7 linked regions of the Rattus norvegicus genome follow. The protein of the gene in region 1 interacts with the protein of each later gene in a biochemical or structural test. Links are inferred from orthologs where the notes say so. Each region holds a gene or a part of one and is shown in the gene's direction. Other genes may lie near its edges. The genes, in order: Mapk3, Dusp3, Ptprr, Ptprb, Mbp, Dusp1 and Gab2.

What was found.
Region 2: of the proteins of Mapk3 (region 1) and Dusp3, one has a biochemical effect on the other in vitro, tested with the Homo sapiens proteins (2 studies listed by BioGRID and IntAct). The link is inferred for Rattus norvegicus from reciprocal best matches to the Homo sapiens genes MAPK3 and DUSP3.
Region 3: the proteins of Mapk3 (region 1) and Ptprr form a complex in vitro, tested with the Homo sapiens proteins (2 studies listed by BioGRID). The link is inferred for Rattus norvegicus from reciprocal best matches to the Homo sapiens genes MAPK3 and PTPRR.
Region 4: of the proteins of Mapk3 (region 1) and Ptprb, one has a biochemical effect on the other in vitro, tested with the Homo sapiens proteins (2 studies listed by IntAct). The link is inferred for Rattus norvegicus from reciprocal best matches to the Homo sapiens genes MAPK3 and PTPRB.
Region 5: of the proteins of Mapk3 (region 1) and Mbp, one has a biochemical effect on the other in vitro, tested with the Homo sapiens proteins (5 studies listed by BioGRID). The link is inferred for Rattus norvegicus from reciprocal best matches to the Homo sapiens genes MAPK3 and MBP.
Region 6: of the proteins of Mapk3 (region 1) and Dusp1, one has a biochemical effect on the other in vitro, tested with the Homo sapiens proteins (2 studies listed by BioGRID and IntAct). The link is inferred for Rattus norvegicus from reciprocal best matches to the Homo sapiens genes MAPK3 and DUSP1.
Region 7: of the proteins of Mapk3 (region 1) and Gab2, one has a biochemical effect on the other in vitro, tested with the Homo sapiens proteins (2 studies listed by BioGRID). The link is inferred for Rattus norvegicus from reciprocal best matches to the Homo sapiens genes MAPK3 and GAB2.

The regions. Positions count from the first base shown.
Region 1 is NC_086019.1:190,795,707-190,799,993, forward strand, and holds the start of Mapk3 (mitogen-activated protein kinase 3), read left to right. Parts: upstream 1-1,487; 5' UTR 1,488-1,521; coding exon 1,522-1,694; intron 1,695-2,611; coding exon 2,612-2,794; intron 2,795-4,287.
Region 2 is NC_086028.1:87,429,236-87,433,168, reverse strand, and holds the start of Dusp3 (dual specificity protein phosphatase 3), read left to right. Parts: upstream 1-1,133; 5' UTR 1,134-1,138; coding exon 1,139-1,284; intron 1,285-1,448; exon of another isoform or gene 1,449-1,891; coding exon of another isoform or gene 1,892-1,893; intron 1,894-3,933. UniProt on the Homo sapiens protein: Shows activity both for tyrosine-protein phosphate and serine-protein phosphate, but displays a strong preference toward phosphotyrosines. Specifically dephosphorylates and inactivates ERK1 and ERK2.
Region 3 is NC_086025.1:53,547,236-53,551,441, forward strand, and holds the start of Ptprr (receptor-type tyrosine-protein phosphatase R isoform 1 precursor), read left to right. Parts: upstream 1-1,406; 5' UTR 1,407-1,889; coding exon 1,890-1,947; intron 1,948-4,206. UniProt on the Homo sapiens protein: Sequesters mitogen-activated protein kinases (MAPKs) such as MAPK1, MAPK3 and MAPK14 in the cytoplasm in an inactive form.
Region 4 is NC_086025.1:53,880,902-53,884,401, forward strand, and holds part of Ptprb (receptor-type tyrosine-protein phosphatase beta precursor), read left to right. Parts: intron 1-1,144; coding exon 1,145-1,423; intron 1,424-1,971; coding exon 1,972-2,121; intron 2,122-3,500. UniProt on the Homo sapiens protein: Plays an important role in blood vessel remodeling and angiogenesis. Not necessary for the initial formation of blood vessels, but is essential for their maintenance and remodeling. Can induce dephosphorylation of TEK/TIE2, CDH5/VE-cadherin and KDR/VEGFR-2.
Region 5 is NC_086036.1:78,227,245-78,230,744, forward strand, and holds part of Mbp (myelin basic protein), read left to right. Parts: intron 1-1,462; coding exon 1,463-1,558; intron 1,559-3,437; coding exon 3,438-3,473; intron 3,474-3,500. UniProt on the Homo sapiens protein: The classic group of MBP isoforms (isoform 4-isoform 14) are with PLP the most abundant protein components of the myelin membrane in the CNS. They have a role in both its formation and stabilization.
Region 6 is NC_086028.1:17,183,529-17,187,652, forward strand, and holds Dusp1 (dual specificity protein phosphatase 1), read left to right. Parts: upstream 1-1,324; 5' UTR 1,325-1,475; coding exon 1,476-1,842; intron 1,843-2,066; coding exon 2,067-2,212; intron 2,213-2,585; coding exon 2,586-2,805; intron 2,806-3,065; coding exon 3,066-3,436; 3' UTR 3,437-4,118; downstream 4,119-4,124. UniProt on the Homo sapiens protein: Dual specificity phosphatase that dephosphorylates MAP kinase MAPK1/ERK2 on both 'Thr-183' and 'Tyr-185', regulating its activity during the meiotic cell cycle.
Region 7 is NC_086019.1:160,839,708-160,843,865, forward strand, and holds the start of Gab2 (GRB2-associated-binding protein 2), read left to right. Parts: upstream 1-1,358; 5' UTR 1,359-1,464; coding exon 1,465-1,542; intron 1,543-4,158. UniProt on the Homo sapiens protein: Adapter protein which acts downstream of several membrane receptors including cytokine, antigen, hormone, cell matrix and growth factor receptors to regulate multiple signaling pathways.

The DNA.
Region 1 (4,287 bases):
GCTGGAGAGATGGTTCAGCGGTTAAGAGCACTGACTGCTCTTCCAGAGGTCCTGAGTTCAATTCCCAGCAACCACATGGTGGCTCACAACCAACTGTAATGGGATCTGATGCCCTCTTCTGGTGTGTCTGAAGACAGCTACAGTGTACTCACATACATGAAATAAATAAATCTTTAAAAAAAATTTTTAGCATTCTTATGGTAACATCTTTGCTTACCTAACCATCTTACTAGCCTCGATCCAGGGTCTTGATTTTGCTGTTTGGCACGCGCACGTGTGTGTGTGTGTGTGTGTGTGTGTGTGTGTGTGTATCTGTGTCTGTGTGTGTCTGTGTGTGTGTCTGTGTGTGTGTAAGAGAGAGAGAGAGAGAGAGAGAGAAACAGATTGTACATTTTAATTGATTTAGTTATCTTTGTTCACAGTTATCACCCTTTCCCTCCTTCTCATATGAAGTGGGCTGGGTTGCATGTCCTCCAGGCAATAACACTGGGTCTCAGAACACACCTGAGCCCACTGCAGGCCTGCCTCTTCACAGGAGCATACCTGACTTCACAGCTTTCTAGTGCTGCCTGCCATCCACCACCCTTCAGACTGCTTCCTCACTATAACACTTAGGATAAGCCCACCACCACCACAGGGGGGCCCAGCAAACGTGGGTACTTCCTACCAAGTCTGACAGCCCAAGTCGGATACCTAGGACCTGCACAGCAGAAGGAATCTGATATCCTCTGATCTCCACACAGGCTCTGTGACATACTCATGCCCCAACACACAAAATTAATAAATGTGGCAAATAAACGAATAAGAAATTATGGAATCTGGGCATTGTGATACAGTCTTTAATCCCAGCACAGGGGAGTTAGTATGCTGAGGCCAGCCTGGTCTACATAGTGGGTTCCAGGACAGCCAGTTCCATGTCAAGAGACCCTCTTAGAAAAAGGAAGAAAGAAAGAAAGGAAGGAAGGAAGGAAGGAAGGAAGGAAGGAAGGAAGGAAGAAACGAAGGAAGGAAGAGAAAAAAAGAAAAAAAAAGAGAGAGAGAAGATGGAAATGTGGCTCAGTGATAGGATTCTTGCCTAACATCCAGAATCTGCATGATGGCTCAGGCCTAAAGGTAGGAGGATGTGGCCAACCTCCACCACATAGAACCTTTGGGGCTGGCCTGGATTAATACTGTCTGCGTAAATGAAACAAAAAGTGAGAGGCAGGTCTCCAAAGTTTAGGGGTGGGTTCCCTCAGCATCACTCAGGGCCACTGGCCCCTGGGGCTGCAGTACTCTCTAGGCAGACTAAAGTACCCTAGTGGCCAAGGCAAGGAAGGAACAGCGTAACTAGGCGGGAAAGCCGGGCGCGCTCTCAGTAGACCACGTGACATCGCGGGCCCGCGCAGGCTCGCCGGGCAGGCGCGGGGGCGGGGCGCGCGGGGGCGGGGGCGGAGCCTGGCGCGCGGCCCCGCGGTGACAGGGCGGCAGGGAGGGGCGGGGCCGCGGGCGGGGCAGCGGGGGGAGGCGGGAGGAGTGGAGATGGCGGCGGCGGCGGCGGCTCCGGGGGGCGGGGGCGGGGAGCCCAGGGGAACTGCTGGGGTCGTCCCGGTGGTCCCCGGGGAGGTGGAGGTGGTGAAGGGGCAGCCATTCGACGTGGGCCCACGCTACACGCAGCTGCAGTACATCGGCGAGGGCGCGTACGGCATGGTCAGGTGAGGGGGTGTCCCAGGAGGGGGCTTCAGAGCGGGGACAGCAGGTGCGTGCCCGGGACATGGGGTCCGGGGAGTGTCGCAGGGGAGGGATCGTGCAGTGACTTCTGGGGGACCAGGAGCTACTTTCTCCGGGAAGGGGGGTTGGAGGCTTGGAAGCCACCTTGTATTGTTAAGGGAGGGGCACCTGGGGGACCCTAGAGATACAGGTGGAGCTAAGAGGATGACTATTCTTGGTGAAGGGGGAGTGAGAGACCCATAAGCAGGTAGTGGGAGCCTTGGTTCCCCCCTGATGAGGTTGTGACAGAGTTTGAGAGAGCAGAGCAAAGCTCAGGGTGGGGCAAACCTTTGCACCCCTGCCCCTGGCCTTGCCAGAGGCCCAAAGTAGGGAGGGGTCTCTAGAATGTGCCTTATTTTGTGGGATACAGGTTTGTGAGTTCTCGCTGCCCCACTCTGTGCTCTGGGCCTTTGTTCCTATGGGAACAGCTCTGACCCAGGAACCTCACCGGGAGACAGACCTACCCCTTCTTATCTCTTCCCCTGTCCCATTACTGAATCCTCTGGGTTTCATCCACTCTCTCCATTTAACTCCCATCCCCTGGACCTGTCTTGGATTGAGAGAGTCCAGCTCAGGAAAGGGGAGGAGGGTGAGGGCAACTACAATGTAAGAGGGTCCAGGAGAAAGGAAGTCAGTGAGTGGCCACTCTCTTCCTCTGTTTGTGAAGTCACTGAAAGGCTGCCTGGCTGGTCCCCAGCTTTCCCCCTGGAGATTCCAGGCCTTCACAGCAGGAAGGAGCCAGCATTGTTTACACTTGGCCAGAACCCTCTCCTGCTCTCTCCGGTCCCTGCCAAGGCCTGGGTGGGGCCACCAGGCCTGGATTCCCCCTTTGTAAGGCCACACATCTCTCTGGCTCTCTCAGCTCAGCATATGACCACGTGCGCAAGACCAGAGTGGCTATCAAGAAGATCAGCCCCTTCGAGCATCAAACCTACTGTCAGCGCACGCTGAGAGAAATCCAGATCTTGCTGCGATTCCGCCATGAGAATGTCATAGGCATCCGAGACATCCTCAGAGCACCCACCCTGGAAGCCATGAGAGATGTGTATCCTTTAGCCACAGCTCCAGAGCGAGGCTAAGGAGCTTGGCTTTGCTTTCTGTTGTCGTCTGTTGTGCCACCCTCAAAAAAAAAAAAAAAAAAAAAAACCAAAAAAAACCAAAAAACTTAAAAACCCAGCAAAGTAACTTTTTAGCTGAGAGTCTACGGAGCAGAAGAGCACCCTGGCAGGCCTTGGATCCTGGTCTGTTGCAGCCAAGTGGAGTGGCCTTGAACACATCCTTTTCTGCTCTGTGCCCCAGTATGGTGTGTGGGGAGGGGAGAATGCTGGGCAAACCATCTCTATGGGAGCTTTGTCTTCTGACATCTGCAGTTCTGTGACATGACCCAGTCTCTGCCCACAGCCCTTTCTTGCTCAACAGACTCACGATTCTTTAGAGACCTCACACTGGATTGAAAGCGAGGAAGAAAACCAGCATTGGGCATGCCTAGCGCTTTGGTTCTAATTCAACCTTTTAGCTTCCCTGTGTGATGAGCTTTACCGCGTCCATTTCTAAGATGAGGAAACTGAGGCTCTGTGTTTTGCTGGGCCTTCTGTGGGGGAGGGGCGATACTTTCTCCAACGTGGAGAGGGTGGAGGCTTTCACACCACCTTGCATTGTTAAGAGGAGGAACCTGAAGACCCTAGACTCACAGGGCGGAGCCACGCCTTTGCACTCCTGGTCTAGCCAGGGGCTCAAGGAAGGACGAGGGGCCCTGAGAGTCTGCCTATAGAAGAAAGCCTAAATTCAGCTGTTCCTGTTTGTTGCTTCCTCTTCTTCCCCAGTTGGCTTTCTTGGAGCCTTCCCACTCTTCTGAGAGCCCCACCCTGATTACCTGCGGCCTTGTACCTTGACCAGGAAAGGTAGTCCAGCCCTTGTTGCCCTTGCTTGACACTGCTTGCCTAGTTCAGACATTTAGTTCATTGTCCACATGTACTTCCTGCTTGGCGCCATTGCTAGTAGACTGTAGCACCCATGGCCTCTTCCCTACCCACCCCTCCCGATCCCAGGATTTGTTCTGCAGCCTCTGCAGCTCTGACCACAGGAAATCGACTACTCCTGTCTTGTTGCATGACCTTCAGCAGGTCTCTGCACCTCCGGACTTCCACATTTGTAAAGCGGCAGGGTTGGTCCATGTGTGTGTATCTGCATATGCTTGTTCTCTCTTCTTCTTTTTGAGAAAGGGTCTCCCTATGTAGACCAGGCTAGCCCTGAACTCATAGAGATCCTGGGTGCCACCAGCCCCAGCTCTCACATGTCTTCTGTGGAAGACAGTTCAGACTTCATTTTTTGAGAAAGTGTCACTGTGTATCCCTGGTTGGCCTCAGGCTAACTCTGTAGACCTGGCTGGCTTTAAACTTCTAGGCAAGCCTCTGGCCTCTGCTTCAAGTGCTGAGATTGTAGGAGTGACGTACTCTGCCCAGCTCCTGATTACTCTTCCAAAGATAAGCCAGATGACATTTGTTTGTGTTTAGTCTTTGTTTTATCTTCAAGTATAAA
Region 2 (3,933 bases), on another chromosome or scaffold:
GCAGCTGCTCCAGGAAAGATTTACCTCCACACTAGCCCACAGCCAAGGACGCAGGCCCAGTGAGTGTTCGACACAGTCGCCACTAAGTGCTTCTGGTACTGCTAGGCCTGTTCATTCCGCGCTCGGAACTGAACTAAGGCTTTTGTGCATGCTAGGTACCTTACCAGCCCAGGAACTTCCCCAGCCCCTTGAATGCTTCTGGAACCTTTCCAGCGATTCTTAAGAATTAGATGTTGCATATTCTTTACTGCAATGCTTGGGACAGAAGTGTTTGGGATTTTCTAATGTTTAATGCATAGAGTCAGATATTTTGGGAATGGATCCAAGTCTAAATCCATTAACGCTTCACATATAAACGTATCCTGAATTTAGTTTTGTATTTTGTACGGTAATTTTTAGTGCACCTGTGTTTTGACTGTGACCCGTCACAGGTTAGGTGTGAGAATTCTCCACTTACATTGTGTTTACACTCAAAAGCTACAGATTTATAAAACACTTTCGGATCTCCAAAAGTATAGCTACTCAAACGGCTATCGTGACGTATAACCCTTTCCTCCCTTTTAGTCGCTAGCAAACAGGCTAAGATTAAGTAATCCACTAGGGGTCAGAGGCCAAACCTGGGGACCCATACCTTCACTTTCAAAAAGTTCAATGCTGATTCACACCAAACACTGAAAGAAGTGTTCCAGAGTAGGGCTCTTTCCTGTGACCTTGTGATCCATGTCCTGGGGTGGGCAAGTTGTTTGTTCATCAGGCGTGGGCTGGGACATGTGCTCTGACATGTGTGTTTGGGGTGAGGGAGTGGATGCCCACGCTGCTGGTGTGCAGCGAGAAGGGTTCACGGCAAACACCAGGGGTACCCATTATCCTGAAAGAGAGACGCCAGGTGTACCTAGGCGTCCCGCATTGGTACGGCGTTCCAGTACGGGTGACACCGGAGTGACGACATCTCGGCCAGGGACCCGCCCCGGGGTCCTGCGGCGCGTGGGCCGGTCGCGCGTGTCCTCTGAGCTGCGTAGCGCGCCGCCAGCTCCCCTCACCCAGTGGGCCCGCCTCCGGGGCGGGACGGGGCGGTTCCCGGTTGGGCAGCCCCGCCCCGCTGACCCGGCTTCTCCCCCTCGCTCGCTCCTGCCCCGGCATGCAGGGCCCCGCCGCCGCCATGTCCGGCTCTTTTGAGCTCTCGGTGCAAGATCTCAACGACCTGCTCTCGGACGGCAGCGGCTGCTATAGCCTCCCGAGCCAGCCCTGCAACGAGGTCATCCCGAGGGTCTACGTGGGCAACGCGTGAGTCTCCGGGAGGGGCAACTCCGCAGCCGCTCCCCGGGCGCCCCGCCTACTCGGGGCTGGAATAGGGGTTCACGGGGCGGGGGTGGGGGTGGGCCCTGGGTGCGGTCGCTGACCTCAGTCAAGAGCGGGTGCCCGGGACCAGCCTGGAGTAGACACCCACTCCCCGCGTCTGAAGCGGAGGAGCTGGACTCCGCATGCCCTGAGACGCCCCTCACCCCCCCCCCTCAAAGTGCCCGGCCCTGACCTCCGCCACTACCAGCTCTGGCTTGGGCTTGGGCGGGGTCAAGGCTACCACGTTCTCTTAACAGGTGGCAGGGCTGTCTCTTGGCCGCGGGTCACGTGACAGCTGCCTAGTTCTGCAGTGAGGTCACCGTGGAATGTCTGCCTTCGTTGCCATGGCAACGGGATGACGTTACAATCCGGGTGTGGAGCTTTTCCTGTCCGTGTCAGGAAATCCAAATACCCTAAAATGCGCTAGAAGAGGAAGTAGCTGAACCAAGGCTCTCCTGGCTTCTCCAGATAGGGTTTGACTCAGATGGGACAAATCAAAAATGATGAAGACCTGAGGCATCTGAAAAATCCCTCCTAATCGCACCACTAGGAAATGTGTATATCACTGATCTCTTATGTTTTTATAAAAAAAAAAAACAAAAAAACACCGAGAGAAAAGTTGGCATGACCCACACTGCAGGAAGATCCATAGTGGGTTTTCATGAGCGCGAAGGCCCCTTTTATCAAAGCCCTAAGCTCTGTTTTTGTGAACTAGGAAGCGATGGCCCCTGGGTGGTTGAGGGGTTGTAAGGATCTTTCAATGCCTTTCATGTGTGTTTCCTGTCGTGCACCTAGGACCTGCTGCTTAACCTGCGGGGAGGGGGGTGGGGGTGGGACCGGTTGCAGACACTTGGGGACAGGTTTCGTGCACTGCGTTGCTCATCTTTATATGAAGCACCTACTATGTGTCAAACACCATATGGTGTCCACTCTTTGGAATGGTGGTGGTGATGATGGTGCGTTTGCTGACTGCTGGATTAGTGTTAGAAAACTGGGATATAGGGGCACAGTATTCAGCATTCTGGCTGTGCATTCTTGCTCCTGAGCAAGCGGATAAACAGACTCACGGGGTCAGCCTCCAGCTCGGTCACTGCATAGTCCTAAGGAACCTGGCCCAGTCCTTCCTACCCCAACTACCCAGGAAGCCAGGGAGCTTGGCAGTCTCGGGAGCCTGCTTGCTGAGGAACAGGTTATTGGGTTTGTCTGTAGTGGCTTCCTCAGGAATACTGTCAGGAATGATGCCTGCCGAGGAGAACACACCCTTTGTCCTCTGTGCAAATCTGACCTTGATGTGGGGGGTGCTCAGCTGGGAGGATCAACTTCGTACCTAAGGCCAAGAATTGTGCTTCCTTACTCACCTGAAACTCGTGGTCAGAAGGGCTGCCGGGCACATCCTCTCAGGCCAGTGAGGGAGTCTGTGTGAGCTGCATTTTCCAATCTCAGGGCGTGAGAGGCAGAGCAGGGCTGAGTCTGAGTCTGGACTGCACTTTCCTCTTAGCTCTGGCTTAGCGGCCCACGTGGGCACACGCGCACACACACCCCCATCCCTCTGCCTTTCCTGTCCTGCAGAATTTAAGCTCTGTTCACAGGGGACAGTTCTATCCTCTCTTGGGGGCTGCCATGTCAGGTAGACAGGCCCATGCAGGAGACACTGCTTTGTCAAGTACAAACTGCAGTTTAAATTTGGATGTTGTGAGGGGGAAGCAAAGGGCCTCTTTGACCACTCAGGCAAAGGACCTTCCAATTCCCATCATTTTGCGGGGGGCTACTTGAGTGCTAAGACATTGCAGAGAGCCTCAGAACTGTAGCCCAACAGAGTGGGGCAGGATTGGTCCTTCAGGGAGCCTGACATGTGACAATTCCATTCTTCACTCATTCACAGAACATTTATTCAGTACCTACCCCGTGACGGGCACTGTAGCAGGGGACAGAGCACTCAAAGAACTCACAGACTGAAGCCTTGGGATACAAACACCAAAAAATCAGGCTCTGTCAACAGAACAGCCCCCTTCAACACTCAGGACCACCGGCAAGCTGTTGGCACTGCTATCTGAATTTTACAGAGAGGAAAAACTGAGGCCCAGGAAGTTTTAAGTGGCTTGATTAAGGTTGCCTGCATGGTCGATGGTAGGGCTGGATTCAGACCCAGACATTCCGACTCTAGGGTCTATTTTTCTCTCTTTTTTTGTTTGAATCTGGGTCTTACTGGGGAAACTCAGGCTAGCCTCAAACTCACCTCCTCCTCCCTTGGCCTCCTGAGTGCTAGTATTCCAGGTGCGTGCTAATGGCTGACTCTCTATAGCTTGTCTATACTGCCCTCACAGCATAGGAACTATAATGGCAACACACACACCGTCAGGAGCTGGGGAAATCCCGCAGAGGACTCTGCAAGATGAGAGGCGAATGCCTACACAGAAGGTGGGGAAGGGAAGCAGAGGGAACAGCATGGGCGTAGGACCACAGGTCTATTTGGGGAAACTGCCGGTAACTGTATATGGCTGGGGTGAGGGGAGAGGTTGTGAAATGAGGCAGGAAGAGCCACAGGGGACAGCAGGTTCAGATCTTCCTCCTTTTCCTCCTTCCGGGGCTGCCTTT
Region 3 (4,206 bases), on another chromosome or scaffold:
CCTTAGGGGATGCAGGGAGAAAGCACTGAATGAGCCCTGCAGTTCAATTCAATGAGCACTTATTACTACCTCTGATTTGGCCAGCACGACTTTATTCAATTTAAGTTAATGCAAAATTCAGAGCTTCTCAAGGAGCCTGCAGTTGGTGAAATATGCGTCACAGATAAATGAACCATTTCAGAAAAAAATATATACATATATATGTACATACACACATATAGTATATACATATACACATACATATACATATACACATACACATACACATACACATACACATACACATACACATACACATACATATACATATACATATATATATATGTCAGTGCTCAAAAACCGGGGAGGAGAAAGAACATTATAATCTCAGGTTAGCCCAGAGCTTTCTGGAAACGTGAGAGCAAGTTTAGACCTATGTAAGCTCTTGTGTGGCCGTGTTCTGACTGAGGTCCGTTGCCAAAAGGCAGCAGGGAAACCTGCGGACAGAAGCATAAGGATGAACAGTCTTGAAGGGAGCCTCGCTGAGGGACATTTTGGCTTAGAGTAATTAGTCACTAGATTGGTAAGGATCTCCATCCTACCAACTTAGATAAAGAGAGTAAAAGTACATATATTCTGCACACCGTGGGGTCCTCGTTAAAGATACAGGGCTAGAGCTCAGAAGTAGAGTTAAGATAAAAAGGCCGGAGTGGTTCAGCTGTTAAGAGCACTGCTTCTTTTCCCAGAAGGCCATGGCAGCTTGCAACATGCCTAACTTCAGCTCTAGGCTTTCAATAACCGCTTTAGACCTCCAAGGGCATGAGGCACAGGCTTGATGAACAGACATGCATGCAAGCAAAATAACCAAGTATATTCACTTTTTAATTAAATAATAGAACCTTAGATAACTATTTCCATAAACTACCAAAGACCATTCCTTTCCTTCAAATTACATGGGCGTACTTCCCTACCCTGTAAGTATGGCCTCCTTATTTTCAATCACTACAGTCATAGACTTAGGGCTTGAATCCAATGGAAGTACAAAGATTGGAAGAAGCCTGGGGTAAGCTAATTGGCAAGTAGGGGGCGCCCTCAGAATAGCCAGTTAGCTTTACACAGCAGGCTGTTAGTGAGAACACTTGCCCAAGCAGGCCAGGACTAACTGCTTGCCTATACTTCAGTAGGGTGGAACATACTGGGAAGTTGGTCGGCCCGCAAACATTTAGTTGCAACAGTGAGGTGAGTCCCCACGCGTGAATCAAAATGCGAGGAAGGAACCAGATGAGTGGCTCCCTCCACTTCCCTCCTTGGGTCTCTGTGGTCCTGGCCCCGCCTCTTCCCGCCCCACTCCACTCCTCCCCACGCCCAGATTCAGGAGGAACGCGCGGGTCCCTAACGCTAGCCTCCAGCCCCTCCTCCCTCTCGTGGAGCTCGTTCCCCTCGCAGCCTCAGCTAAGACCCGGAGAGGTGGAATTTCGATTTGAAACTCCCTAGCCAGGGCCGGGGCTGGGCATGCTCAGTGCCTCGGTGTATCGGGCTGCTGCTAGCTGCACAGGCAGCAGAGGCGCTGCCTGGCTTGGAAGCTGGCACAAGAGTCCACCCCACTGTCACCACCGACTGCGGGCTTCAGGAAGGCCAAACACTCACCTCCTCTGAGCGCTTTACACCCACCAACCTCGAGTCCCCATCTCCCGCAGCATCCTACTCTCCCGTCTCCCCATCCCTTAGGGAGACGAAGCCAGTGCTCGGTTCTGTAGGCACGCCACAGACTGCTCTGTGAACCCCAGCGGAGGACCCTGTCATCGGATGCCTCGGGATCAAAGGACTCTTGGCAGTGTTTCTCTCAAATAGCACTTTGCCTGGAGTGGGATTGCGGTGGAGTTTCTCCCCCGCCCCTCAATGCACACACTATGAGGAGAGCGGTCGGTTTCCCTGCACTGTGCCTGCTTCTTAATCTTCACGCTGCAGGTAAGGGCTTGCGGGGGTTCAGAGCTGAAGCTGAGGATGAGATGGGAAACAGCACATGCTTAAGGACTCCAGGGGAAGCTTACCTAGCAGAAGAAGGTTTGGTATAGTCTCTGAGGGGTGAGAGAGTGCACCTGTTGGAAGGCTGGGGCTGAAAACTTAGGCTAAATTCAGCCTTTCCTTTTTCTTTATCTTGCATAACGAAGAGTGAACATTTTAAATGTGTATATAGATTTGCTTTCCCCTCCATCGAGCTTTCCTGCTTGCGCTTCTAGGCTTTGCACTTGGTTGCACATTTTACAGGAAAAGAGATGAGACATCCTGCTGGATGGAGTCCTTTCTACTGCAGCGGCTACATCCATAAGCTCTCCCAGTTTAGTGAGCGCTCACGGGGCTCTGTCTGTAACCTGATGGTCTACATCTCCGCCCCTAAGAGCCAAATGCATGGTTTATTAACAATGCTGCCCCAGGCTGCTTTGGACCCTGCTCTTGTCACTCGGATTTTCTGAACCAATAAGAGTAAGGAAAGGTTTCAAACGGGAGGCTCTTCTCTATTTCAGCACCACGGTCAGTATCCGCAGTCAGAATAGAAAAACCCAACCACACTTACAAGCCTAGGGTTTATCACTGTCTCCCCAGGGGGAAATTCGATGGAAGATAGCTAGGAGTGCAGTCACATAAAAATAGGTTGGACACAAGAATCAGTATCTAGTTCTAGGGATGCAAACCTGATAAAGTGCCTAGGAATTTTATATCCAGCATCACCTGGCTCCTCTAACACAGTGGATAAGCTTGCTGGACTGCATCCTGTATGATTTTCACACATGTGAACCAAAATAAAACATGGCAGAGAGGTTTGAGGAACCCTGCCGTGACCGCAGTTGTCCAAGCAGTAGCCCTGTAGCAAACGCAGACCTTTTCTTTGAGTTTCTTTCACACACATTCATTTCTCTAAGTACACCGAGTGGGAGTGCATTGTGTTACTGCGACCATAAACACACACACACACACACACACACACACACACACACACACACACACACACACTAGCTGGGAAACTGCAATCTTTGCGGTAGTGTTCCAAAAGCCTGAGTGCTTTTTTTCCCTGTATGCAATAATGGGAGTGAAATGTAGTACTTTTCTGTCCTAGCTATTGCGATTTAAATGCATTATGCATTTAGAAACAGACGATGTATAGGAACAATAAAGCTATAATTAAGGATGTATGTTAATTATTATAATTACAATATTACATTGTGGAGTCTTCAGTGGTTCTCTGGTATCTTGAATACCAGTGGGAGAAGAAGCTATGACTTGGTTATTAAATTATTTGCAAACAACTGTAATGAATCACTTCTCAGCCACATACAATTATTTAAATGTTAAAGTATATGACGATTACATAGATGCTGTTTTTGCTTTATGTCCAATACTATTTAGTGGTACAATTGACAAAAGTAACCACTGCCAAAAAAAGTTTTCATTGCTACCAAGTTAAGTAATTAGTTATCTGATAAAACACATCGATGTAATTATTCTTTAAAAAAGTATGCATACACAAATGTTGACAGTTATGATTAATGCATGCCAGGGAGTTATAAGCTTACAATTATACACAGACTTTATTATAGGTCTGGAGAAAAGGTTTCTAATTTATTATGGATGAACCCTGGGGATAAGGGAAAGAGAGGACGTCTGCCCACCAGAGGTGAAACCTAGAAGTCTGCAGCCCTCCATGATTCCTGGAGCTTTGCCAAAACATGTATTACAAAGGTCAAAGCAAATCTATTCTCTACACTTTGGCCTCTTAACTTGCAGAAAAGATTAAAAATAAGATTACCCAGCCAATTTTAGTTTCATAAGGCAACAGGTGATTTGCTATATATTTCAGATTTCAGTGGCATTAATTTGTATTATTTTTTGTATGTAATACGGTGCTCTGGAATGGTATTTTTTCAAAGCAGATTGTGGGTCTGATGTTGTAATTGTCATCTTGCCAGTTTTGTTTTGGGTTCATTTTAATTTTCAACAGCAATTTGTGGGTCAGAAGCTGTCATCAGATTAAAATGCATCGCGGTTATCTAATAGCACTGTTTGGGCTTTTCATCAGAACTCAGATAAATATAGCTTTCTTGATCTATGCTCCCACAGATTTAGGTAATAAGAAAATAAGTGGCTAGGAGAGCACAGATCAAGAAGCCTCGAAGCCTTTTACTTGTTGAATATCTGAGTTTATCTCTCATAAAGAGAGCCACATTCAAG
Region 4 (3,500 bases), on another chromosome or scaffold:
ACGCAGAGGAGGATCACAAGTCACTACAGTCATTTCATCTTGAGCAGAGTTCACATGTGTTGAGTAATGACTCTGCCAACCAGTGTTCCACCATTCCATCATTACAATAACTCTTCAATAGCTAGAGAGATTCTTGATTCCCTCATGCGCAGGTGGGTTGTAGAGGTGGAAAGTCATTTATACAAAAGTGTTGGTGAAGTCAGGCTGGAGGCTTACCTTGCCTTCTGTCCGGCTGGTTCTGGTGTCCTCACATGCGCTTGCTTTTCAAAGCATGCTGTCGATTTTCTGAAGGCATAGTACTTTCACTTTCAGTAAGGCTTTTTTATTGTTGCGTTGTTTTGGGTTGACAGTGTTGAAGAGCGAACACATGGTCACACATATGCTAAGCTAGCCTAGCTACATTCCCGGCTGCATTTTTAACTCTTTCTTTTACATTTACTTATCTACCTACTTACCTCTGTGTGTGTTCTCATGAGTATTCATGTGTGTGCACAAGTATGGGGATGTCAGAGGACAACTTGCAGAAGTCCTTTGTCTTTTTATAATCATGTAGATTCCAGGGATTGAACTCTGGCCATTAGGCTCGGTGGCAAATACCTTTACCTGTTGAGACATCTCAGTGGTCCCATTTAACATTAGATGGACTGTTTTATTTGTTGGTAAGCTGGTTGGTTTTGGTTGGTTGGTTGATTGGTTGGGTTTTTTTGTTTTGTTTTGTTTGTTTGTTTGTTTGCTTGTTTGTTTTTTTTTGTTTGGTTGACTTGTTTGATTGGTTGGTTGGTTGGTTGGTTGGTTGGTTGGTTGGTTGGTTGGTGGTTGGTTTTTCAAGACAGTAACCCTGGCTTTCCTGGAACTTGCCCTATGGACCACTCTGGCCTCAAACTCACAAATCCACCTGCCTCTGCCCCCTGAGCACTGGGATTAAAGATGTGCACCACCACAGCCTGGCTGACACTTTCTTTTTTCAACATGTAGTCTGGCAACCAGAAATTTTCCATGATGATCCTTAGAAATACTTTCCTCAGAAAGTAATTCAAGAAGTTGTGAGAAGGGTCTGTTTACAGCTAGACAGTTAACCCCAAAGGTGCTGGAGGAAATGTCTTGCATAAGGCTGACCTGTGTCTCTTACCCCTTGCTCCCACAGAACCAGACAAGATCCAAAACCTGCATTGCCGCCCTCAGAACTCGACGGCCATTGCCTGCTCTTGGATACCACCTGACTCCGACTTCGATGGCTACAGCATTGAATGTCGAAAAATGGACACCCAAGAAATTGAGTTTTCCAGAAAGCTGGAGAAAGAAAAATCACTGCTCAACATCATGATGTTAGTGCCTCATAGGAGGTACCTGGTGTCCATCAAGGTGCAGTCGGCCGGTGTGACCAGCGAGGTGGTTGAAGACAGCACCATCACCATGATAGACCGTAAGTGTTTCCCAAGGTCTGCGTGGGACCCCTTGTCACACAGGGGTAGAGGGCTTCGAATCTCTCTCAGTTATTTCCACCAATCCCATTCGCTTGCACACAGTTCACATGCACACAATCCTGTCTTGTTATTACTTGGAGAAGAGGATCAAATACTCCAGGAAAATGAGGACATTTCTCTGGATAAAGTTTTGCATTAACAAACACCATCAAGGTTAAAGTGCCTGAAGGAGTTGGGGTTTAAGTGTGCCATTTGCCTGATCTAGTTAATCTATAACCAGTGGGGCTTTCAAACCATGTGATGCTACAACCTGAGGGAATCCTGCAGAGGAGACGCCCCTTCCATTGCACCTAATGCACCACTGGCAAAGCATTTCCTCTGCCTACTTCTGCCCAGGCGAGGAGGAGGATTTCCTCATGGAGGCTGTAATCACACATTACCTCGGTAGAGCACAGAGGCCGAGGTGACTATAGACCTCCACCTCTCTGACCTGTTCAGAGGAGAAAGGGCCCCATGACCCTTCTTGCCGACTTCCCCTCTTTTCCAGGCCCTCCGCCGCCGCCTCCACATATCCGAGTGAATGAGAAGGATGTGCTGATCAGCAAATCTTCCATCAACTTCACTGTCAACTGCAGCTGGTTCAGCGACACCAACGGGGCTGTTAAATACTTCGCCGTGGTGGTGAGAGAGGCTGACAGTGAGTAATGACGAGTTAATGAACTCGAAGACACAGAACTGACTTCTTAAAGGTCGTGAGAGGGCTCCTTCCATGAGAAAGTTTGAAGTGTAGAAAATGAAATGTTAGATACTCAGTTCTGTCTCAGAGGATCCTCTGACAATGAACCCTGTTAACTCTGGGCGTAATGAGTGATCAACAGGAGAATGATAAAAATAACAAATACGGTAACGATTGAGCTGAACAGTGTTGCCCACACTTACAAACCCTGTGCTTATGAAGCTGAGACAGGAGGACTTCTATGAGTTTAAGACCATCCTATACATCCTATAGACAAAGATCATTTATTTTTAGAGTCCTTACTATTTCCCAAGCACAATTTTCCAATACATGAATATCCTCTTGGCTACCCATCAATTTTGTTTTCTCTCTTTCTCTTCCCCCACCCCTCTCTCAAATTCTGCCAGTAAGTAGCAATATATCATAACACCTTTTATCTATCTCACTTTCTATGACATAGACAGGCACCTACTCCCAAACCATACATCAATTCACAAAAATTCCCAAAAGCTTACAAGAGAGAAAAGATGTTCATTTGAAGCACCACTGCTTTATGGAGGGTGTTTTTCTGAGTTCTGTTCATTTGGTCTTGCTGTTGCTTGTTTTGTTTTTGTGTTGTTGTTGTTATCATTGTGTTTGTCCATTTGTTTTTTACGTAACTTGGTCTGGTCTTCCCCTCACTTTGTAGCCTATGCTAACCTCAAAACCTCACGAGTCTCTGGCCTTAGTTTCTTCCCGGCCTTGGGATTGTAGACATGTAATCACCACACTCAACTCTTAATCTTTAGCAGTGTATTTCATTGTGCAGTTTTGTAGAAAGCACGGGGACACCCAGCTTCCACAGATTGGGCACGTGTTCTGCACTGTTACACGTAGTTGTACGTAACTGATTGTGACTGAAGAACTGACACGTCCTGTCAAAGCACCTGAAGGAGGTGTGGATTGGAGTTATGTGTATCCACGTATGTCTTTGCTGCTAAGGCCTTAGGTACTGAGTCTCCAAAAGGGATGCCAGTGTGCACAGGGATATGTCTATTTCATCTTCCTTATATTTCTCAGAATTATTCAAGGGGCTAAATATACATGAATTTCCCTAAGCATCTCTGACAAATTTTCAGCCGTTTTCGGGTAAAGGGGAATTTTTAAACATGGCAAACACTGGAACAATGTCTAGACTAAACGATATTTTAGTTTCAGTGGGTATTTAACAGTCTGTATGGTTTTACATCCTATTTAGTTGTACCAAATTGGTTATGCATAATTAATTAAATAATTTCAAGGGTCAATGATGCATCCCCGGTTTCCTCACACCCCGGCACTGGAGATAAATTTGTGAGCCG
Region 5 (3,500 bases), on another chromosome or scaffold:
CTTCCAACTACTAACACAGGCTCTGTCTGGTGCTTTCTATGTGAGGGGACGGAGTAAACATTTGTCCACAGCCTCGGGACCTACAACGCAAAGGGTAAAGCCATGTTACTGTTTAGTTCATCGCGAGGATTGCGATGTAACTGACCCGGAGGGAGGCTGAGTGCTAGGCAAATGAAATGAAAATGGCAGGGATCAGTGTCGCCCAGGAGGACTGGGGGGATGAACAAAGAAATGCGGGGTGTTTTAGACCAGCATTGTGACCTAAGACACATTGCATTTGTCCATATACATTGGCTGCATGCCACATAGAGTGAACGATGATATATCCAGATGATGATGATGGTGATGATGGTGATGATGGTGATGATGATGGTGGTGGTGGTGGTGGTGATGATGGTGACAATGATGATGTTAATGCCCCGATCTTTTTCTATCACTTGGAACAAGCAAATCACAATGCCGATGGCACCTGTGCCACTCTAGTTCTCATCACGGAGCCACACCCATCGCACACACCCTCCCGGCTTTCGAGAGAGCCCTTGCCTTTCTTGTGGCAAACTCCCCAGAGGGCTCTCCCAACCCGAACATGGAGAGACAGGATGCTTCAAGTGACTGGATTGCCATCCCAGTCACATGGCTGTGACCCCTGCGGAGGACTATGTATATCACTTCTGTGGTCCTTGTGGTTGTTTGACTGAGGCTTCTCTGAGCACAGGGGTGATTCGGAGTGTGTGCTGGGAACAGCAGAGGGAGAGATGAGGAAACTCATGCAGTCTCCTCCAGAATTCCCTGTCTGTTGCTCTCTGAATACAGTGATGTTGTGAGGTCCCTTCACAGTGTCTTCTCAAGGATTCTAACAAACTGTTAGATGTACACAGTTTCTGTGGTGCTGTGCTCATCCCCTGTGTCGAGCACAGGTACAGAGCGACAGCCAGGAGGACAGCATCAGGAGAAAGCAGAGCCTTCTCAGTCTCTCCTGAAAGCTTGCGCTCACTTGGGATAAGTCACTGGCCATGTGCTTGCTAGAATATCTTATTGGTTACATTCACTGGCCTAGAACCCTCTGGTTCTGTGGGTTATGAATTCTCCTCGGCCCAGGTGGACACTCACTGCAGGTGTAACACCATCTGACTCAAGATGGGAAAGTGATAGTACTATATCGGCAGACTCAGAACCCCGGTGACATGAGGCAAAGAGGCTAGCTCATGATGCTGCAACCCCAAAGCTAATGAATAGACTCCCTCTGCCTGTCGTGGCTTCAGAAATAGAGTAGCCACCCGGCAAACTGCAGTGACACATCAAGCATGCTCCTCCAGGCCCCGTGCCTGACTCAGGGGTCTGCTGCCACACCAGCAGCTCCCCAGTCCCCAGGAAGCACGGAGTAGAGACCTTCCTCAGAAGGACAGACCTGGCTCACCTACCTAGAACTCTCCATCCTCAGCTGCATGCTTCTCTCTTTCAGGACTCACACACAAGAACTACCCACTACGGCTCCCTGCCCCAGAAGTCGCAGAGGACCCAAGATGAAAACCCAGTAGTCCACTTCTTCAAGAACATTGTAAGTGACGTGCACAAGGGGAACCAAGAAATCATCAAGGGGAAGGCTGCAGATCCAAGCGAGGTCTTATCTCACACCTAGCCTCCTTGGATCCTTCTCAGGGTGCTGCTGATGGCCTGAGGAACACCACCCTCAAAGGATTTAATTTTCCTGAAACCAGACAGCTAGCAGATGCTTAATTAAAAATATAGACTTTGTAACCCTGAGAAATGAAAATGGCAGGGATCAGCATTGCCCAGGAGGTATGAACAAAGAAATGCAGGGCATTTTAGACCAGCATTGTGACATAAGACACATTGCATTTGTCCATATACATAGGATGCATGCCATATAGAGTGAACGCTGATATATCCAGATGATGATGATGGTGATGATGATGATGGTGATGGTGGTGGTGGTGGTGATGATGGTGGTGGTGACAATGGTGTTAATGCCCCCAATCTTTGTCTGTCACTTGGAACAAGCAAATCACATTAATGCCAATGCTAAACAGCAGAAGCTGAGCAGATGTGTGGGAATGCCCTACGGGTGTAGGGGAAATGCATGATTTCATTACAACTTCTGTATACAGCGGAAAACTCTTCCACAAAATAAATGTCCTAGTTACCTCTCTATTGTCATGATAAGACAGCATGAGCAAGGCCACATACAGAGAAGAAAGAGGTTATTTGGAGGTCATGGTTCAGAGGATGAGTCAATGGCCATCATGGTGAGGGGGTGTGGATAGTGCTGGGGCAGTAGCTGAGAAATCACATCTTCAGACATAACCATGAGGTAGACATAGGAGGGGACATAGAGGTAGATACACAGATAGATGATTGTTAGATGGATAGATAGATGTGATAAATAAATGATAGAGAGATAATAGATACATAAATAGGTATATAGATACAAAGATAAACAATAGATAGATACATAGATAAACAATAGATAGATACATAGATAGATAATAGACAGACAGACAGAGCCCACCTGAGTGGCACACCTCTTCCAATAAGGCCACACCTCCTAATAGTTCCGCCAACTGGCCACTAAACATTAACATATATGAGCCTTTGGGGGCCACTCTCATCCAAACAACCATAAGAAAATTGTTTTTTCTTAAAACTAATGGTGAGGAGCTGGAGTGATCGCTCGGCCATTAAGAGAGCATACTACGTGTCTTAGACCTTCTATTGCTGTGGTGAGACACCATGACCAAAGGCGACTTGAGGGGAAAAGGACTTCTGTCCTTTCCTTGTCACAGTCCCTCATTGAAGGAACTCAGAGCATGAACCCAGAGGCAGAAACTGAAGCAGAAGCCATGAGCAGAGGCTGCTGACTGACTTGGTCCTCATGCTTTCTTAAATACCCCAGAACCACCCCTCAGGGATGGTCCCACCCACAATGGCCTGGGCCCTCTCTGAGCAATCATTAGTTCAGAAAACACACTAGAGATCTGTATGCAAATCTTACGGAGACGTCTTCTCAGATAAAATTCCCCTTTCTCAAATGATTCTGTCCTGTGTCAGGTTGACATAAAGCCAGCCAGCACACGGCTCTTGCAAAGGATCAGAGTTCAGTTCCCATCACTCATGTGGGTGGCTCATAACTGGCTATCGCTATAGCTTCGGCCCCTGCTGGCCTCCATGGTCTCCTGCTCTCACAGGCCCACACAGAGACGTTTCTCTCTGAATGGGGCATCAAGCTGAAACTGAGCGTCAATAGATGCACGATTTCCAGCCCCAGGAAGGGCAGGATATGGAGACATGTACTAGTTTCTGACCCCTGATGGACTGGAGTCATGTCTGTGGACATGAACTAATAGGACCCTCTGGGAGGGCGTGGGGCTTCCTGCGGGGAAGTGAGTCACTGCAGCCCCCACCTCTCTGTCTTCCAGGTGACACCTCGTACACCCCCTCCATCCCAAGGAAAGGTAAGTTAGCCTGAGATGTTTCGATTC
Region 6 (4,124 bases), on another chromosome or scaffold:
TCTTTTAGGATCGTTGCTCAAAGGGATGTAAAAACGCCCTTTAAAAATAACGTGTCCCGAATTTCCAGAAGAATCTAGGCAGAACGCAAGTGCTAAGAGAGGCCAAAGCGGACGTTGCTGGGCAAAGACACATGGTGGCCAGTAAAACACCTCCCCTTGCAAAGAGGAAGAAACCGCAGAATGTTCCTGACTCGGCACCCCTGCGGAGTGGTGCAATGTTTATGTTTGTGTATCCAACTCGGTGGTGTTGGCAGCAGGCTCACGGCCTACCCCGTAGTCATGGAGTTTTGGGGAAGGACACAGACATCGTTGGGGTCTTCCCAGGTGTGATGGGTACAGTTTGTTCCACAGAGTGGAGGATTCAAAGCTCTCAGTCCTGAGTCATTGGTGTGCTCAGCTTCTGTTCAGTAGAGTTGAAGAGCTAGGCATTAGTGAGGCGGGGACAGGAGGGTCTCTGTGAGTTCAAGGCCAGCCAGGGCTAAACAGCAAGACCTCTCTCAAACAAAACAAAAGAAAGTTGTGTTGGGGGCAGAGGAGCAGTGGCTGGCAGCATCTTCTGATGCCTCGCGACGACAACGTGCTTGACGGTCCTTGGGCGGCGCTGTGGAGCTCTATCCAAGTCCCCCCCCCCCCCCTCCCCGAAAATGTCAAACCTGGGCTCCACACCCGAATTTGCAACCCTCCTCCCTTTGCTCCAAGTAAGTCCTCTAGGGACCATCGTAGTTAAGATAACACTTCGGTGTGGGGGTTGTGGGGGGAGCTAACTGGAGACACTCCTTTGTCAGCGTAAAACTTTTAAAGTGAGATTCAAGAAGGACGTCTGGACTCTCGCTGTTTGTCCTCAGTATAGCCAGAGGGTTATAGACCGAGTTGGTCATCTCTCACTATCCACTTCCCTTTCCCGCTCTGCTCCCGCGCCCACCACCCCAGCAGCCAGAGCGGGGCCAACTGAGACCGTGATCCCAGGAGTGGCCGCGCGCTCGTTAGAGACCCGGGCAGGGGAGCAGGGCAGGTGTCCCCGGGCGCGTCCTCAGGCCGAGCCTTCTGGCCACCCCGGCTGGCAGCGCGCCGTCCTGCCTGCGAGCTCGGAGGGCAGGAGGGTGGGGGCCCGGCCCGGAGCCAGCGCTCAAAGCCGACCCGCTCCCAGGCCGATGACGTCTTTGCTTTTGGCTTTGGTGGCGCCAAGCCCGGCAGGGCGGGTGACGTCACCACCCGGTCACGTGTCCGCCATTCAAACAAACAAACCGTTCCCCCCCTCCTCCTGTGCCGCGCCCGGGACCGCCCCCAAGAGGCCACATAAAACCGCGCTCCTCCGAACCAGCGCGCAGCAAAGGACTGGCGGGCGGGACGCGCGGTGAAGCCAGATTAGGATCAGCGAGCACTTGAGGATTTAGGGCCACAAAAAACCGCACAAGATCGACAGACTATTTCTGGAGAGCTGCAGAACGGGCACGCTGGGGTCGCTGGTGCTGGCCATGGTGATGGAGGTGGGCATCCTGGACGCCGGGGGGCTGCGCGCGCTGCTGCGAGAGCGCGCCGCTCAGTGCCTGCTTCTGGATTGTCGCTCCTTCTTCGCCTTCAACGCCGGCCACATCGTGGGCTCAGTGAACGTGCGCTTCAGCACCATCGTGCGGCGCCGCGCCAAGGGCGCCATGGGCCTGGAGCATATCGTGCCGAACACCGAACTGCGCGGCCGCCTGCTGGCCGGAGCCTATCACGCCGTAGTGCTGCTGGACGAACGCAGCGCCGCCCTGGACGGCGCCAAGCGCGACGGCACCCTGGCCCTGGCCGCGGGCGCGCTCTGCCGAGAAGCGCGCTCCACTCAAGTCTTCTTCCTCCAAGGTACGCGCAGGACTTCTGCCATCAGCTAAGGAAGGGGGGCGTCCCACCTGGAGTGTGAGAGCGCCTGTGTCCAGGGGCTTGTCACTGGCTTTGTTTGACTCCGGGAACAAAGACTTCCTAAACCTTCCTTGTAAACTCGCAGCCCCTGGTGGGTGGGTGACTTGTCTCCAGGTACTGCGTCGGCGGCGGCGTTAATGGGAAAATATGTACCTTTGTATTCTCAGGAGGATATGAAGCGTTTTCGGCTTCCTGCCCTGAGCTGTGCAGCAAACAGTCCACCCCCATGGGGCTCAGCCTCCCGCTGAGTACTAGTGTGCCTGACAGTGCAGAATCCGGATGCAGCTCCTGTAGCACCCCTCTCTACGACCAGGTTAGTAGGAGTCCGGGGTCTACGAGAGGCTGGGAGGTGGCAGAACTGGCAGAGCTCTGGGAAGCTTGTGCCAGGGAGAATAGAGAAAGCGGCTGTAGCTTTATTTATACTAGCGGGGACACGAGGATCTTCATTTCACCATGAAGCAATTGGATGGAGCTGAATTCTCCCAGTTGCTGGCACGGAAGAGCTTGTTGGCTCTGTCCCGGCCAACCGGCTCGATTCTTTACTATTATTTTCATATGTCAACAGCAGTACTGAGGTCACCGCTTTTCAGAAACTCCCTTTTTCAGTCGGGAGTTTTTGTGGGCGTGGGTCCTGGCGTGTTCACGCCGAACAAGCTTGATGAACGCTGGATTGTTTTGGATTTCAGGGGGGCCCAGTGGAGATCCTGTCCTTCCTGTACCTGGGCAGTGCTTACCATGCTTCCCGGAAAGATATGCTCGACGCCTTGGGTATCACTGCTTTGATCAACGTCTCGGCCAATTGTCCTAACCACTTTGAGGGTCACTACCAGTACAAGAGCATCCCTGTGGAGGACAACCACAAGGCAGACATTAGCTCCTGGTTCAACGAGGCGATTGACTTTATAGGTAAGTGGGATAGATGTCTGGGATCTCTGCGTTCTTCTCTACTGTAGCTGCTGAGCCCAACCTTCCTCCTCACTGAGACTTGAATAGTTGGACTGACTGTCTTGTCCAGGATTATACGTGCAGACACCCAATCTGGGTTTAAATCCCTTGCTATCCTTTGCACAGCATATGCACAGTCCCTATGATAGCATGAGGGCGTCTTTGATCAGGGCTCGGCTGTCCTCCTGAGTTTTTGAGTAAGCCATAACTTTGTTTTTCAGACTCCATCAAGGATGCTGGAGGAAGGGTGTTTGTGCACTGCCAGGCCGGCATCTCCAGGTCAGCCACCATCTGCCTTGCTTACCTCATGAGGACTAACCGAGTGAAGCTGGACGAGGCCTTTGAGTTCGTGAAGCAGAGGCGGAGTATTATCTCCCCCAACTTCAGCTTCATGGGCCAGCTGCTGCAATTTGAGTCCCAAGTACTGGCCCCTCACTGTTCTGCAGAAGCTGGGAGCCCGGCCATGGCTGTCCTTGACCGGGGCACCTCTACTACAACGGTCTTCAACTTCCCTGTCTCCATCCCTGTTCACCCCACGAACAGTGCCCTGAACTACCTTCAAAGCCCCATCACAACCTCTCCGAGCTGCTGAAGGGCCAGGGGAGGTGTGGAGTTTCACGTGCCACCGGGACGACACTCCTCCCATGGGAGGAGCAATGCAATAACTCTGGGAGAGGCTCATGTGAGCTGGTCCTTATTTATTTAACACCCCCCCCCCCAAACACCTCCCGAGTTCCACTGAGTTCCCAAGCAGTCATAACAATGACTTGACCGCAAGACATTTGCTGAACTCAGCCCGTTCGGGACCAATATATTGTGGGTACATCGAGCCCCTCTGACAAAACAGGGCAGAAGGGAAAGGACTCTGTTTGAGCCAGTTTCTTCCCTTGCCTGTTTTTTCTAGAAACTTCGTGCTTGACATACCTACCAGTATTAACCATTCCCGATGACATACACGTTTGAGAGTTTTACCTTATTTATTTTTGTGTGGGTGGGTGGTCTGCCCTCACAAATGTCATTGTCTACTCATAGAAGAACGAAATACCTCACTTTTTGTGTTTGCGTACTGTACTATCTTGTAAATAGACCCAGAGCAGGCTTTCAGCACTGATGGACGAAGCCAGTGTTGGTTTGTTTGTAGCTTTTAGCTATCAACAGTTGTATGTTTGTTTATTTATGATCTGAAGTAATATATTTCTTCTTCTGAGAAGACATTTTGTTACTAGGATGACTTTTTTTTTATACAGCAGAATAAATTATGACATTTCTATTGAGTTCTC
Region 7 (4,158 bases), about 30 Mb from region 1:
CTGCCTCTCCAGTCGATGCATCAACCACACAGCTACCCTTGTTAAAGTGGATTACTTGCAACCTCCCAAAGAAACTGGAGGGGAACCTACCTTTTAATGCTGTTTGGGAAGGTGCTAAAAAAAAAAAAAAAAAAAAAAAAAAAAACTCTTACCAAAGGTTTTGGTTTTGGTTTTGGTTTTCTTTTTTCCTCCACCTCCCCCCTGGAGCACTGGTGCTAAGTGAATGCTTCCTGGTCCTTTATCTCAACCCTCTCAGCACAAGGCAGTGAGAAAGAGCTCTCTATATTCATATTTATATAGGAAAGATCTCACTGCAAGTGAATGGGTGCAAACTCTGGAAATTTTTTTATCACAATTTCTTATTCTTCTATACCTCCTTGTTTTCCAATTCACCTCCTTGTTTTCCAATTCTGCAAAACTTAAAATTTCCTTTTACAGGATTCGTTTTTTCCAGAGGCAACATGGGAGAGCGCCAGCTGGACTTTGTTTCTCAGCAATAAGATTCAGTTCCCCACCCCCACCCCCTTTGATCTACAGACATTACAGCAATCCATCATTCTGAAAAAGAAAAAAGAAAAAAAACCGGGGGAGAGGATCCTCTCCCCTCCTCCCCAAACACCTGGATTAGAAACGACTGCATTGTATGAGCTGTGGGACTTCAGGCTATCTGTAAAATGGGTACAATTACTGCCTATCCAATTTGTAGAGTTGTGAAGATAATCGCTGTGAAGGACTCCCCGTGCACAGTAGGTCTGTTTACTTCTACTCTGGCCTAGAGATGTGAGAGTTAGCTTACAGTGAAGCAGGACACCCATTTCAGCCAGAATCCGACTTATTGAAACCTGAAACTGTGGGACTGGACAGGAAACTGGAGCAGCCCTTGGATCTCTTTCCTACTCTTACACGACCCTGAGGAGGGGTGGGGTGGGGAGGGGGTGAGAATGGGCTCGCTGTTCGATCTAGGGTGGGCAGCCTCTAGCCTTCCCTCGCCCTAGCACCAGCCCCACCTAGAGGTCTTCACGACCCCTCCTGCAGCTCCAGGCTTAGAGGAGGGGAAAAAAAAAAAAACAACCACCGCCAAGATCCTGAGGGCGCACTGGGTGGCGGCAGCTCTCCTCGCCTCAAGGCCTCCTTGCCTGTGGTGTCCAGAGCCTGGGTAGTTAGCCTCTACGCCGACCGCCCTCAGGGACCGCGCGGGGCTGTGGGCGTGGCGAGAGCCCGCTTGCTGAGGCGCCCTGGTGGGGCTGGCTGAGAGAGCGCGCGCGCGCGGCCGCAGGACGGGGGGGGGGGGTTCGAGCGCGCGCAGGCAGCCGAGCCCGCGCGCCTCGCCGCCTCGTCCTCGCCCGGGGCTGCCCGGCCCCTCCCCTCCCCCGCGAGCTGCGCACCGGCAGCCGGCTGACCCAGCAGCCCGCGCCCGCGCCCTTGTCCGCGCGAGCCGGCGGCGGGCTCCAGTCAGCGGGCGACATGAGCGGCGGCGGCGACGACGTGGTGTGTACCGGCTGGCTGAGGAAATCGCCTCCGGAAAAGAAGTTGAGGCGCTATGTGAGTGAGGCGAGCGGGCGCGGCCGGGCGGGCGGGCGGACGGCCGGGGGCTGTCCCGCGGCCTCTGAGGTGGGGGCGCTGAGAGAGGCCGTACGCGGCGAGCCGAGGCCCCGCGGCCTCAGAGGGCGAGAGCGGCGGGGCGCGAGTGGGGCGCCTCACACCTGTCACAGGTGCGCCGCCGAGGGGCGGGGCGCAGGTCGGGGCCGCGGCTCGCCGCCCGCCTCCCCGGGAACTCCTCGCGGTGCCGAAGTTTGTAACGATTGTTCCGGCGATCCGGAGAGTAAACGCCCGGGGCTGAAGGGGCAGAGTCACCCCGAGCGGAAGGGTAGGCTGAGGGGCCGCGCGGCCCCGGGCCCACAAAGGGCGAGGCGCCGCGCCCCTTTCCGGGTCCCTTTCTCTGTCCGCCCCTCCCTGGTGGCTGCCGGCTTCCTTCCAGTCCGCGGCCACTGCATCACGGGCAGCGTCAGCGGCATGTGCAGCGCTTGTATTAAGTGACTCATTTGTTTGTCCCCCTTCTTTCCCATTATTTCGAATGTCTCTCACATACCCCCACCCCCACCCCCACACACACCGCGGCCCTCCGCCCCACCGGGTGACACTGCAGTTTGGTCCTCTATAACTGGCCAGAGTTTTGTGTCATGCAGCCCTTGGTGTCTGGGGTCTGAAGACATGGTTCTGAATTGCTAGGTGGTGCTAGCTGTGTTTACTGAAATTGGTGGGACGGGCTGTCCCCTCTACGTGAGAAACTGGCAACTGAGGTCGGGGCACCCCCTTCTTGTTTAGCGAAGTCAGAGAACAAAATGGTGCCAGGATCGGAGATTGGAGTAGTCTGATGAGTTTAGAAATGGAAAGTCAGTTAAAGGAGTGCAGGTTCTCCCATCTTCTCACTCCTCACTTGCCAAGAAACGTCCTTGTTATGCTGACTGGGAGTGCTGGACTCAGAAATCACCCCCACAGCCTGGAAGTGAGCGGTTGCTTCCAGCTGCAGTGCATCAAGGGAGCTCCCAACAGACCCTGCCCTCTGTCAGCTGCACTAGTGGCTGGCCATGGGGGATAGAAGCTTACCAGAGTTTCCTGTCTCTGCTCCCCAGATCAGAATCAAGGGACTTCTGGCCTCTGGACTGAGGAAGTGACATTCTGTTTTTCAAAGGAAGTGTTGTTGTTGGGGAGTGCAAGTGTGTCAATGAAACCGGGCTTTGACTTAGGTCACTTGCTTGAGGGGAGGGGGGAGGAGGAGAGGCAGACAGGGAATCTTAGGATTTAGTGCATGGTTTTTGAAAGTGAACAGAGATTTGGCATACAGTAATATAGTAGGGGTGTTTAAGCTTTAAAGCTCATTTGGGTTTTTTTTTATGTGAGTAAAATATTTTAATTACTAAGAGCTTTTTGTTTTGTTTTGTTTTGTTCTGTTGCCTGTTGCTGTAGCCTAGGCTTGTACTGCCAGCACTTACATTTGGGAAGCAAGAGACAGGAGGAGCAGAGGTTCAAAGCCAGCCTATTTCTGTTGGTCTAGGCCAGCTTAAGCTACATGAGACCCTGTCTCTCATTTGCATGCCAAACAATACTCACTCTCTCTCACTCTCTCTCTCTCTCTCTCTCTCTCTCAAATCATGCATGTGCACAACTCCAAGATGGCTTAATGGGTAAAAGCAGTGCCCTCAAACCTGTCAACTTAAATTTGGTTCCCTGGAACCCACATAAAGATGGAAGGAGAGTTCTGACCTACACACTCATGTTGTGTGCACTCACACAATCTCTCTCACATACACAGAAATAGTTAAGAAAATGGGGGGGGGGGCTTTGTCGGGGATGGGGGTGGTCGTTCATGCCTGTAGATGTGTCCAGCATCTGGAAGATGGAGGCAGGAGTATCAATAGTTCAAGATCATCCTTGACTGCTTAGTGAGCTCAAGGCCAACCCAGACTACATGACCAGCCACTGAAATAGTGTCCAGTTTTAAAAAGTAAAATAAAACGTTCAGATTAGAAAGGAATGTAGCATAGTTGGTAGAATGTTTTCTTAGCGGACAAGATGTTCTGGGTTTTATCCAAGAACATCATAAACATTGCTGGGTGGCACAAGCCTGTAATCCCAGCATTCCAAGGAGGAGAGAGGAGGATTAGAAGTTCAGCTCATCCTTGAATTTGAGAAAACAAACAAAAATATATAGAGATCACTGGAACTTTGTTTTTTAAATATCTTGTAAAAAAGTTGATACTGTTGCTACTTTGACTCATGACTGCATCAACCCTTACCATGAAGATTCTCTTTATGACCTAGCTCTTGAGTATTTTTTAGAACAACTTTAGCTCAAAAATAGCCAAGTTTGGAGGCTTGTGTCAAACACAGATTTTACCCATTTAAACTCCTTTAGCAGTCTTGGGTCCTCTGGTGACCTCAGCCTCCCTCTCGAACTGCACATTCCCTTTGGCTCCAGCCCGGAAGGCACCTCCCACTGTAGAAAGAAGTTCAGCCCTCCTACTTGAAACAGCCAATTGAAATAACTTGTGCTTCCAGTACAGCCTCCTTGATCCACTACATTTCTGGAGGAAAGAGTTGGCTTTTACACACACACACACACACACACACACACACACACACACACACATGCACACA